3 linked regions of the Xenopus tropicalis genome follow. The protein of the gene in region 1 interacts with the protein of each later gene in a pairwise test. Links are inferred from orthologs where the notes say so. Each region holds a gene or a part of one and is shown in the gene's direction. Other genes may lie near its edges. The genes, in order: prmt1, speg and hnrnpr.

Region 1 (4,417 bases):
GGCCCAAGGAAAGTCTCCCATAGGGCTCAATGGCACCCTGCAGCTCCAACCCGGCCCAAGGAAAGTCTCCCATAGGGCTCAATGGCACACTGCAGCTCCAACCCGGCCCAAGGAAAGCCTCCCATAGGGCTCAATGGCACTCTGCAGCTCCAACCCGGCCCAAGGAAAGTCTCCCATAGGGCTCAATGGCACTCTGCAGCTCCAACCCGGCCCAAGGAAAGTCTCCCATAGGGCTCAATGGCACTCTGCAGCTCCAACCCGGCCCAAGGAATGTCTCCCATAGGGCTCAATGGCACTCTGCAGCTCCAACCCGGCCCAAGGAATGTCTCCCATAGGGCTCAATGGCACTCTGCAGCTCCAACCTGGCCCAAGGAAAGTCTCCCATAGGGCTCAATGGCACTCTGCAGCTCCAACCCGGCCCAAGGAAAGTCTCCCATAGGGCTCAATGGCACTCTGCAGCTCCAACCCGGCCCAAGGAAAGTCTCCCATAGGGCTCAATGGCACTCTGCAGCTCCAACCCGGCCCAAGGAAAGTCTCCCATAGGGCTCAATGGCACTCTGCAGCTCCAACCTGGCCCAAGGAAAGTCTCCCATAGGGCTCAATGGCACTCTGCAGCTCCAACCTGGCCCAAGGAAAGTCTCCCATAGGGCTCAATGGCACTCTGCAGTTTGGGAACCTATTATTTGGCTTAATTTCAAGGGAATGTTCACCTTTGCATTTAGTTTTAGTATATAGACCTGTTTATGATAAAAATAACTAGCTAAAACCAAATACCAACTAATGACCCTTATCACCAATGTGCTAGTGACTACCTGCAGTATTGCCAATGGGTCAGGCTGATACTGCTGAGGGCACTGGAAGCAATTTCTTTCAAATAGTCTACAAATGCATTTGTTTATTAACAAAAAAAACTTTCCAATATATAGATTATATTTTACATTATAAATATTGGAAAGTTTATGTTTTTTAATAAACATTCATACATTTCTGGGAAGCCTTTACTTTACCCTAAAGTATTTTATATCTATCTGTTTAATTCAGAGTATTAGCAACCAAAACAGTAGAGATGTGATGCACTTTACAGGTTTCTGCTTTCATGGAATCTTATGACTGGAGAGGACACATTGGACAATAACATAGGCATGGAGTCGTGTGCACAGATTTGTCAGCTCACTTTATACTGATAAGGCTTATATTGAGTCCAGTTCTTCCTCGGAGGATATATGTGTGATTTCTGTCATATAACCCAGGCTAATAAAATATTTTTTCAAGAATAGTATTGTGACTCCAGTACCGCTCGGCCGAAACTCGAACTACTAAAATTAAGCTAGCTCAACATACAAAGACTCCATTTTATTACGCAATGTTTTACGTTTTAAACAAACTCACCAATCAGCCAAGCGAACGAACTGACGGGCGGAGCCCTCTGCCAGTGAGTGGGCCAAGATTTATAGAAACTGGCCAATGGGAGTACGGGGATGGGAGGGGGCGGATCAGTTTCGCGAAGAAAGGCACAATCTGCTCTTGTTGAGGGGTAGAAAAAAACGCGCGAAGGACGCCGGGGCGGTGCCGTGTGTGGGCGGGGCTTGTGCTTCTCTATATAAAAGGCAAAGGGGCCGAAGCGCATGTCGCAGTTCTCTCGTACAAAGCCGGTGGCGTGGCTTTGAGTTTCTTTTTTAGATTCGTGAGAGAGACTGACAAACATGGCTGAAGCGAGCACCTGCAACATGGAGGTAACTAGCCGAGAGAAGAGCTATGGGGAGTGGGTGGGCTGTGCGCTATAGCCGAGCGCTTTGTGAGGCCACTGCGGCCTTTTAACTCTTTAACACTCTACGCTCTCAATGGCGGCGAACTAGCACATCGCCCCATGGCCGCCCCGTTAAATGGCTGGAATTTGCTCACTTAGGGCTTAAACGCCGCAGGGCCTGGGTCTCTGTTGAGCGGTTCTGCAGAACCCCTAGGGTGCCGGGGAGGCGATAATGCTGTAGTACAGCAGTGACTCGTCCTTTTTAAAGGGATGTGGTATAATGGCGGCTAGGAGCCTCGCACACGGGCGTCCACTGCGGGGAATTTCACGCGTGGGGAGATATCGTGACGTAAGTAGCGCGTCCGTGCTGAGAAGCCAGCGGCCACGTGTTCCCCAGGCGATGCCCCGCCCCTAGCCCCGCCCACATGCCGGTAGCACAAAGCCGGGCCTGGCTGGAGCCGGAACACGTGTGTCCCACGCCGCGCTCTTCCCACTGCCCACGGCTCGCCATTCTTCCTGCCGGCTTGTATCGAGCAGTCTCTCAGTAATGGGGTGGGCCATGGCCGCATGCTAACGGCTCCCCTTGTCTCTTGTGAGACATGAGATTCTAGTGTCCCGCCATTCCTCCTGCTCAGTGGGGGGGGGGGGTCGATCCTAAACCAACTTCATTTATTTTATTCGACACAACCATGTGTTAGATCGCTTTTTGTAGATTCTCTGGGACTGTGCTAGAGGGTTGATGGGTAAAGGGCTATAGAGGGTTTGTTCACCTGAGTTACTCAGAATGAGGTAGAGTGTAATCTGAGAATTTGCAATTGGTCTCTTTTGTTGGGTCTTTTAACTTCAATTTGTTCAACATTCCAGTTTGGAATTCCAGCTGCTATTGGGTTGGTAGGGTTCTACTAGCCTTAGCAACCAGGGAGTGGTTGGAACAAAGGGCAGGGATATGAATTGTAGGTCTGAATAGTACGATAATCAGTGAAAAGTAATACAATTGTGGCCATATAGAGCAAAGATTCTTGGGATCTGAGACCCACATCTGAAAGCTGGACCGGTTAGAAGGCAAATTTAGAAACTATATATAAAGCCCCATTGAATACATGTATGTAGCTCTGGACTGGGTTTTAAAATAGGTTTTGGTATTTAAAGTACAGTAGCCCACTGAATAGTTACGGTTTATGGTATTTTAAAGCGGCTCCTCTGGAATTGCCAGATTGGTTGTGTTACATACATATGCACAGATACCCAGATACAAGACCTCCGGCTGAGTGCAATTATTAAAGGTCCTGGAACTCCATATTCTGATCTATTTTATGGTGGTGCTTTTATATTGAATGCTAATTTTGGTAAGATTTGGCAGACTATTTACTTTCCTAGATTTACTTAAATTTTCATTTTGAAGGTGTTAAGATGTGTGGGGCTGAAACTGTTCTACATATTTGATTGTATAAGCCTTACAAGTTGCATCTGTAGACTTGCTGTAAACTAAGGGGCTTGACCTAAGCTCTGATGGCCATTGGCTTACTGATGGTGATTAGCAGTAGTGATTCTGTAACCTTTGACCTGTTAACTTTAAAGGGGGCATTGGCTAAATGAAGAAAAAACTGATTTTGTAGGCAATTATGAATATTTGGGGCTGGCTTTACTTTTATTGGAGCTCCCTATAGATCCTCAGGTTCCTGTCAGTGCTTCAAATGAGGGGTAGGCGTGTCCTTAAGATCCCTGCCAGAAGTACAGTAATGGGGAAATAGGCAATCACAGTCCGGCAGTCACACAAGCAAAGGCTTCAGTTCCCTATCAGGTCAGCCAACCTGATGGGAAACCGATTGGTTCCTATCCTACAGTGCAGTGTACAGAGTGCTGCCAGCCCCCCTTCACATCTAGTGAAACAGATGGGCAGGACTATTAGGGTTTTGGGGGAATCTTTCAATCAGTCCAAGACACAACTTTTTTTTTAGCACAATCCTTCTGTATTTCATAATTTTCACATGTTTCCTTTAAAGCTGTCTGAAATTAGATGCTTGGCTGTTGCTGGCTTGACCTGTGGCTAGCTTAAAAACAAGTTACATTGTGAACTTTTCCATGTTACTTTTTTCTAGAACTTTGTAGCCAAGTTGGCCAATGGAATGAGCCTGCGGACTCCAATAGAAGATGTAAATATCCTTTAAATTTTTGGCTAGTTGTGTTTTGGCCAACTTGGCTTTAGAGTTCATGTAACAAATGCCATTTCACTACATGGTACTGTGGTGCAGTGGTGTTACAGCCTGATTAAAGAAGTAAAGGTAAAAATCCCAACTTGCATGCACAGGCTGGTGCCCAGGAAGCTTGTTTCTGAGCACCCTGCCGCCATGCTTTTCTGCCCAAGTGCACATGTGTAGTACAGTATATCTTGGACTCGCTGTGCTGCTCATGGGATGCACCATAAATAGGATAAAAATGTTGGGGCTATACTCCTGTATTCATGATTACTGGACTCGGGCACCAGCTTCATGAGTAGAATTACTGGTGGTCACACCTCCTAGTGATTTTTACCTTTACGTCTCTTTTTAAAAGTGACTTATACCTATACTTTTTTCAGGGTGCTGAATAAAGTTTCAGACCAGTTGTGAAAGTAGGTAACTTTTAAGATTGCCATGTTTCCCAGCTAGAGACACCACTTGAGCGGTCTCA
Region 2 (3,172 bases), on another chromosome or scaffold:
GAGTGCCCAGAACTTTACACCGCTGGTCCTGCGACCCCTCGGCAAACGCATAGGGACCCTGGAATATATGTGTGCGTAGCCTTGGTGTCTTTGTGTCATGTGGATTCCCTATAGGTTCTTGACAGTTCCCTAGTTTCCTGTGTAGTTAATTCTTATTTGCGTTATTGGGCTGTGATTATTGTATTGGCCCAAAGGTATATAGTAAAGTAGCCAGTATAGTAGCCTATAAATGATTACAGTGAAAAATTGCCCAGTGTTTGGGGCCCTTTTGATGGCCCAAGTTTGGAAATGCCCTCAGGCGAGGATCACGCTGGTGATTGGTTTATAGGCCCACGTTAGGATCCAGTCATTGGCCCAGGGGCCAGACTCATACTGATTGGCCTGTCTGGTTGTCGTCTTCCTTTCTTGCACATTTCTTGTTGTTCCTAACCCTGTGCCTTTCATTTGCAGCCCCCGAAATGCTCAAAGGTGACGCAGTAGGCCCAGCAGCTGATATTTGGGGTGTAGGCGTTCTGACTTACATAATGTAAGTATTTGTTATCACAATTTCTATTAACTGCTTTTCTTACAAGCATAGTTACATAGTTACATAGGGTTGAAAAAAGACCTGTGTCCATCAAGTTCAACCCATCCAAGTAAACCCAGCACACCTAACCCACACCTACCAATCTATACACTCACATACATAAACTATAAATACAACCACTAGTACTAACTGTAGATATTAGTATCACAATAGCCTTGGATATTCTGATTGATCAAGAACTCATCCAGGCCCCTCTTAAAGGCATTAACAGAATCTGCCATTACCCCATCACTAGGAAGGGCATTCCACAGCCTCACTGCCCTCACCGTGAAAAACCACCTACGCTGCTTCAAATGGAAACTCCTTTCCTCTAATCTAAAGGGGTGACCTCTGGTGCGTTGATTGTTTTTATGGGAAAAAAGAACATCCCCCAACTGCCTATAATCCCCTCTAATGTACTTGTACAGAGTAATCATGTCCCCTCGCAAGCGCCTCTTTTCCAGAGAAAACAACCCCAACCTCGACAGTCTAACCTCATAGTTTAAATCTTCCATCCCCTTAACCAGTTTAGTTGCACGTCTCTGCACTCTCTCCAGCTCATTAATATCCTTCTTAAGGACTGGAGCCCAAAACTGCACTGCATACTCAAGGTGAGGCCTTACCAGGGACCTATAAAGGGGCAAAATTATGTTCTCATCCCTTGAGTCAATGCCCTTTTTTATACAAGACAGCACTTTATTTGCTGTAGTAGCCACAGAATGACACTGCCTGGAATTAGACAACTTGTTATCAACAAAAACCCCCAGATCCTTCTCCATTAAGGAAACCCCCAACACACTCCCATTCAGTAGATAGTTTGCGTTTATATTATTTCTACCAAAGTGCATAACTTTGCACTTATCAACATTGAACCTCATTTTCCAGTTTGCTGCCCAGTTATCTAATTTTGTCAAATCGCTCTGCAAAGCGGCAGCATCCTGCATGGAACTTATAGTTTTGCACAATTTAGTGTCATCAGCAGAAATAGAAACAGTACTGTCTATGCCCACCTCCAGGTCATTAATAAACAAGTTAAAAAGCAAAGGCCCAAGGACTGACCCCTGCGGTACTCCACTAACCACACTGGTCCAATTAGAAAATGTTCCATTTACAACCACTCTTTGTACTCTATCCTTCAGCCAGTTCTCTATCCAATTACAAATATTATGTTCTAGGCCAATATTCCTTAATTTGATCATTAACCTTCTGTGAGGTACTGTATCAAACGCTTTAGCAAAGTCCAAAGCAATGCTGCATCAGGACATATTGCTCCAGCTAATATATCAATTGTCTTTTAAACTGCTTCTTTCCCACAATTCTCCATTCTGTATTTCCCACGGTGCAGGCTCAGCGGCCGCTCTCCGTTCTTTGAGCTGGACCCCGTGGAAACCGAGAACAAGATCTTGTCGGGACGATTTGATATCTTTAAATTGTATTCCAACGCCTCCCAAAGTGCTTCCCTCTTCATTCGCAAGATCCTGACTATATATCCTTGGTTAGTAGCTGTGTGTGACTTTATTATTCTGAGTTGTGTTTGTGGCAAAGGCCCCTCTTATTGCTCCAATGCCCCAATCTCTGTGTGAAGATTTGATAGTCTTAGTCCCATATTAGATATTAAATATTTATATTATAGTAAGTACTCCTATAGGCTTTTTTGCTAACACACTCACATCAAGCAAAAGATATTTGTGAGTCCCCTGCTCGGCACTAAGAGAATTTCCACAGGTCTCTGTTCTCCATACAACGCACAGAACATTCTGTATAATGTCCAATATAAATAAATCTAAAGCAACTGGACTTGTTAAGTAATCATTGAAGACGTTTCACTACTCATCCGAGCAGCTTCTTCAGTTCAACTGGTATGGGAAGTTCTCAGCTTATGTATAAGTGGAGAAACCATCCCTAAACAGAGGTGGGGGACTTCGACACCATCTGTCTGCTACATACAATGCTGTTCTAACATCTGTACCCTGGCGTTTCAGAACTCTTCACACATCCATTCACTCTAAAAAGTTGCATGATACTTGAGAATCCTCTCAAAGTAACTCCACAGAATTCACACCTCTGTGAGTTTCAGATGTCACCTTTCTGAAGGGCCATTATGATTGGATTAGTGGGAGAGTACATATGCTGAGGGCTTCCCATCCCAGTCAGTTGAACTGAATAAGCTGCTCGGATGAGTAGTGATACATCTTCAATGATTACTTAACAAGTCCAGTTGCTTTAGATTTATTTATATTGGATATATCATGACCTGGATGAATGAAAATCTTCATAGTCATTCTGTATAATGGATTCCAAGTCCAACAGCTAAACACTGAACATACTTTTCCATTTATATTATTATTCCAGGAGCCGCCCATCACTTAAGGAATGTTTTTCCAATCCCTGGCTCCAGGATGCCTACCTAATGAAGCTTAGACGCCAAACCCTAACCTTCACCACTAACAAGCTCAAAGAGTTCCTCGTGGAGCAACAGAGGAGACGCGCAGACACAGCCACTAAGCACAAAGTCCTCCTTCGTTCGTACCACGGAAGCCAGCCCTCAGCTCCTGTCACTCAGTGACCTTCAAGAGCAGACTCTTTATTAAATAAGTTGGCCAAGAA
Region 3 (4,327 bases), on another chromosome or scaffold:
CAACTGGACTTGCTGTAATGACCGAAGACATTTCACTTCTCATATGAGGAGCTTCTTCAGTTTAATTGAATATTATGGGAAGTGCCTCGGCATATAAATTATATTCTGAGGTCTTCTCGTACCAGTCAGTTGAACTGAGAAAGCTGGGTTTTGTGGAAATAAGTTTAAAAAAAACTATGAAAATCAGAATGCTAAGAAATCTGCCTCAGACTCTTTAGTCCACCAACCTCTTGTTTATATACACTTTTAGAACATGCTTTTGAGTATTCATTTGTACTTTTTTCTTTTTGAATTTTTTTTTAATTTCTTATTTAGGCCATGGATGAAATGAATGGAACAGAACTGGAGGGGGAAGAGATTGAAATAGTTCTTGCTAAGCCACCTGATAAAAAAAGGAAGGAACGACAAGCAGCACGTCAGGCTTCCCGGGGAAGTTCGTGAGTATATTGAGATTTTTGAGTAAACATTGTCAACTGAAGCAACTGAAAGGTCAAGCTCTGGATGTTTTAACTAATCTATAAAATTCATGCTGGCATGAACTGCTAGTTCACCAATTTTTGTTGTTTTTTTTTTTTTATGTTTTTGTTAGTAATAATTTTAATACAAATGTCAATGTATCTCGTTAGACTCAAGCTAGAGCCTAATTTTTCAGTTTGGATTTTTCAAATAGCAGTATTAAAAAATTCTTGTGTAATTTTCATTTGTGCCTTTACTTTGCTTTTGTAGAATTGTTTTCAATCTGTCTGCAGTTAAACCTAATTTTTGTGTTTTTTTCTGTTTCTCCTATAACTTATATTTACCAAGGCTTAACTTTGATTTTTATTGTGCCTGTACTTGGGCAGATATTGGGGGTGACATGGACATATTTGGCTTAGTTAGCAGCATGTTGGCTTGTGAATGGAGTCAAAACTTTTGCCTTCCTGAAGAATATCTGATTGTGACTTTATTTAGTCACAATATCTGATTTAGGATAGAAAACCACAAGACTCCCAGGATGAAATCATTCAGTGGCCAAGGGTTAAATGACCGATAAGCCCATCTGGCCCTTGTTGAGTTGGGCAGGTTGCTTGGGGCATAAGGCAGCATTTGGTTTTTTCAATCAGCCTCCTTATAAGAATTCAAATGTGTTAATATATTAAAAATGGTATGAATATGTATTTGTAAAATGCTTTAATACTACTTTTTTTTCCCCCCCATTCATTAGGTATGACGATTATTACTATTACCCTCCACCTCGAATGCCACCTCCTGGTAGGGGCAGGGGCCGTGGAGGCAGAGGGGGCTATTCCTTTCCCCAAGATTACTATGGCTATGAAGATTACTATGATGATTACTATGCATACGACTATCATGACTACCGTGGGGGTTATGATGATCCATACTATGGCTATGACGATGGCTACCCTGTGCGAGGAAGAGGAGGCAGAGGTGGGAGGGGTGGACCACCGCCCCCCAGAGGTAGATCTGTTCCTCCCCAGCGTGGAGGGCGCTCCAGCTATGCCCCTAGAGGTTCTCCAATGGGCCCTCCTCGCGGATCCCGTGGTGGACGTGGAGGACCCGCTCAGCAACAGCCACGAGGGCGAAACTCAAGGGGCAGCCGTGGCAGCAGAGGTGGGAACGTTGGTGGTAAAAGAAAGGCAGATGGTTATACCCAGCCAGACTCAAAGCGCCGCCAGACCAACAACCAACAGAACTGGGGGACCCAGCCTATCGCCCAGCAGCCATTGCAGCAAGGTGGTGATTATACTGGTAACTATGGTTACAGTAATGACAACCAGGAGTTTTATCAGGATACTTATGGGCAGCAGTGGAAATAGGCAAGGTCATATTCTTCAGACAAAACACACATACACCCACTCTTAAATATATATTTCATATATATATATTTGTGCTTTGGGAACTCTGCCTCTAATTTTATTGGCAGTGTTTCATCATTAAGCTGTATATACCTTAGTTTTTGCTTTATTGCTCTGTTACAGTTGGTATTCAAATGGAATGCACTGGTAGAGTTATGGTATTTTAAGTATTGCTGAACCTTGTGTTCTGGATATGGGGATTTGGAGAGTATTATGGGCATAAGTCAGCAGTTAACTAGAGCATGTATCCTGTATTTGGGCTTTTCTTTCCCATTCCACCCCTGTGCAGAAAGTTTTTGTCTGCTTATATTTAGAGAAGTAACTTTGTGGCATTGTCTTCTATACATGGACTGCAATGTTTTTTGTGCTATTAAGTCATTTTGTTTAAAATAATTGGTTACAACCCCTCCCCAGTTCAAGAATACTAAGGATTACCAGTGTTTTTAGTGGTTTTTAAACTTTTTTTTTTATTATTATGTGAGGGGTTTTAATGCTGTTGGACAATGTTCAATCATGATTTTGACAGGATGCAGTATTGACAATTTCCCCTTGGATTTGGAGTATCTTCTACAGGATTAAGCTGTATATAACACTAGTGCTGTCTTAAGTAAAAAAAAAAAAAAAAAAAAATTAAAAAAATATTTTAAAGATTCATGTATTAAATGACTGTGCATTTTGGATTCCTAGAACTAGGTGAAGTTGTGTTTATTTAATTTTTTTTTATGAAGGCAAAAAATATGCCTAACAAGTTTGGCTTGGGTAACAAAAGCCTTGACCGTTTGTTCTGTGACTGTATTTACAAATTTATTGTTCATGTACAATTTCAATAAAACTCCACAAAATCCTATTGCAAAAAAATTCTAAATATACATATATATGAAGTTAAAAGAATCATTAAAAAACAAAAAAAACAAAAATGCAAAAACTGAGTTGTGATTCTTGCAACAAAAACTTCCAAAAGACTGAACTGCATATGTGAGTGATCAAATCTGTAAACTACAAACTTAATCCATGATATAAAGCTATGAAAGTGGGTTTTAAATTAATAATTTGTAAAATCAATTAAATACACTTGGTTGCCAAATTATCTTGATCTTGATGTGCATTTTCTTAGGTGGTTTGAAGGCAAAAGATGAAATTGTATACATTTTATATACATATATGCATATGACCTCAATCTACATATTGATTGAGAATGGGCTTTTCCAGTAATTTATGTTTGATTAATCTGATAATTTTTCTGTTTTGAATTTTCCCTGTGCACACCCACAAAACAAATAATGGTTTTAATGGTCTAGAAGACCAGACTACACTATATACAGACTTTAGAAGACAAAAATTCTACATTTCTTGATAATTTCTGTTAAAAACAAACTGGCTCATAAAACCCTCTTAAGGTTTGTATACTAGTATCCACTAAAAAACCAAAATATGGTTACTTTTGCTGTCAATATGCATCAGCGAGGCTGGTAGAGCAGTTATTGTAAGGTATCAAGGTGTGGCTTACAGAATATAGATGATCTCTCCACACTTACATCCAGTAACACATTAGACTGCCTGTTTCCAACAGTGCTCAGCTACCTTCAATAGTAGTAGTTTTTAGGGTACATATAATCGTACTCTCTGCTACAAAATTCTAACACCTATAAGTAAAGTTGTTTTTCTTTCCAGCATTTTTATGGAAAGATTGCTTTCCCCCCTTTTGTTTGGTTCTAACGTCTTTTTTTCTTTGGATATTTTATTTGCCACCCTATCTTCATAGCATTGCCTTGTTTGTTATATAATGATCACATACTAAGATTTTGGCAGATGACCATTTTCTTAGCTATTAACATGAAGAAAATTTGATCAAAATTACCAGGATTTAATTCTTAAGGCAACAATAGTGGCTTGTTGCCCACAGAAGGGTGTCTCCTCCTGTGGTTGATAAAGCGTCCGGAAATACCTTGTAAAACACTTTACATATGTTTATTAAGCCATGATTAAGCTGAGTTTTTGCTTGCAAAATATACTTACAGTGGTCCCCATTCTTCTGCATTACAGGGTATTGTCAGACATTTTTTTTTGCTGCAGGAAAGACTTAACTCCCTTGGATGACAAATGAATGTCATTGCTCTAAATGTCACAACTAGATTCTGGATTCTAGTGTCCATTCTAGTATTAAAAATAGGAAAAAGCAAATCCTAAAATGTCAAGTGCCAATAAATAACTATTTGTCGTTTTAAAATTTTCGTGACTAATTTCTTCTGTGCTCCAGGGGGCAAAAAGCTAAAGCTAATCATTTTAATGTTTTTAACAACTGCATACAAATCATTTGCTTCAGGCAAAATGAGCCTTGTGTGAAATTGAACTTGTTTACCAGTTTGATTTTGTGAAGAGGTTTGCCATCCATTAAAACTTTATGGTGACAAAATACAAAAATTAATTTTAAAGCCTGTGTTTAGATATTTTATACATTAATTGTGTTTTTG

The links.
Region 2: the proteins of prmt1 (region 1) and speg interact in binary tests that used the Homo sapiens proteins (3 or more experiments, as listed by UniProt). The two-hybrid records come from large-scale screens. The link is inferred for Xenopus tropicalis from reciprocal best matches to the Homo sapiens genes PRMT1 and SPEG.
Region 3: the proteins of prmt1 (region 1) and hnrnpr interact in binary tests that used the Homo sapiens proteins (3 or more experiments, as listed by UniProt). The link is inferred for Xenopus tropicalis from reciprocal best matches to the Homo sapiens genes PRMT1 and HNRNPR.

What each region holds. Positions count from the first base shown.
Region 1 is NC_030683.2:111,004,470-111,008,886, forward strand, and holds the start of prmt1 (protein arginine N-methyltransferase 1), read left to right. Parts: upstream 1-1,554; 5' UTR 1,555-1,703; coding exon 1,704-1,733; intron 1,734-3,846; coding exon of another isoform or gene 3,847-3,900; intron 3,901-4,417. UniProt on the Homo sapiens protein: Arginine methyltransferase that methylates (mono and asymmetric dimethylation) the guanidino nitrogens of arginyl residues present in proteins such as ESR1, histone H2, H3 and H4, FMR1, ILF3, HNRNPA1, HNRNPD, NFATC2IP, SUPT5H, TAF15, EWS, HABP4, SERBP1, RBM15, FOXO1, CHTOP, MAP3K5/ASK1, MICU1 and NPRL2.
Region 2 is NC_030685.2:83,596,407-83,599,578, reverse strand, and holds part of speg (striated muscle preferentially expressed protein kinase), read left to right. Parts: coding exon 1-71; intron 72-450; coding exon 451-526; intron 527-1,910; coding exon 1,911-2,060; intron 2,061-2,917; coding exon 2,918-3,131; 3' UTR 3,132-3,172.
Region 3 is NC_030678.2:82,754,708-82,759,034, reverse strand, and holds the end of hnrnpr (heterogeneous nuclear ribonucleoprotein R), read left to right. Parts: intron 1-315; coding exon 316-437; intron 438-1,204; coding exon 1,205-1,817; 3' UTR 1,818-3,686; downstream 3,687-4,327. UniProt on the Homo sapiens protein: Component of ribonucleosomes, which are complexes of at least 20 other different heterogeneous nuclear ribonucleoproteins (hnRNP). hnRNP play an important role in processing of precursor mRNA in the nucleus.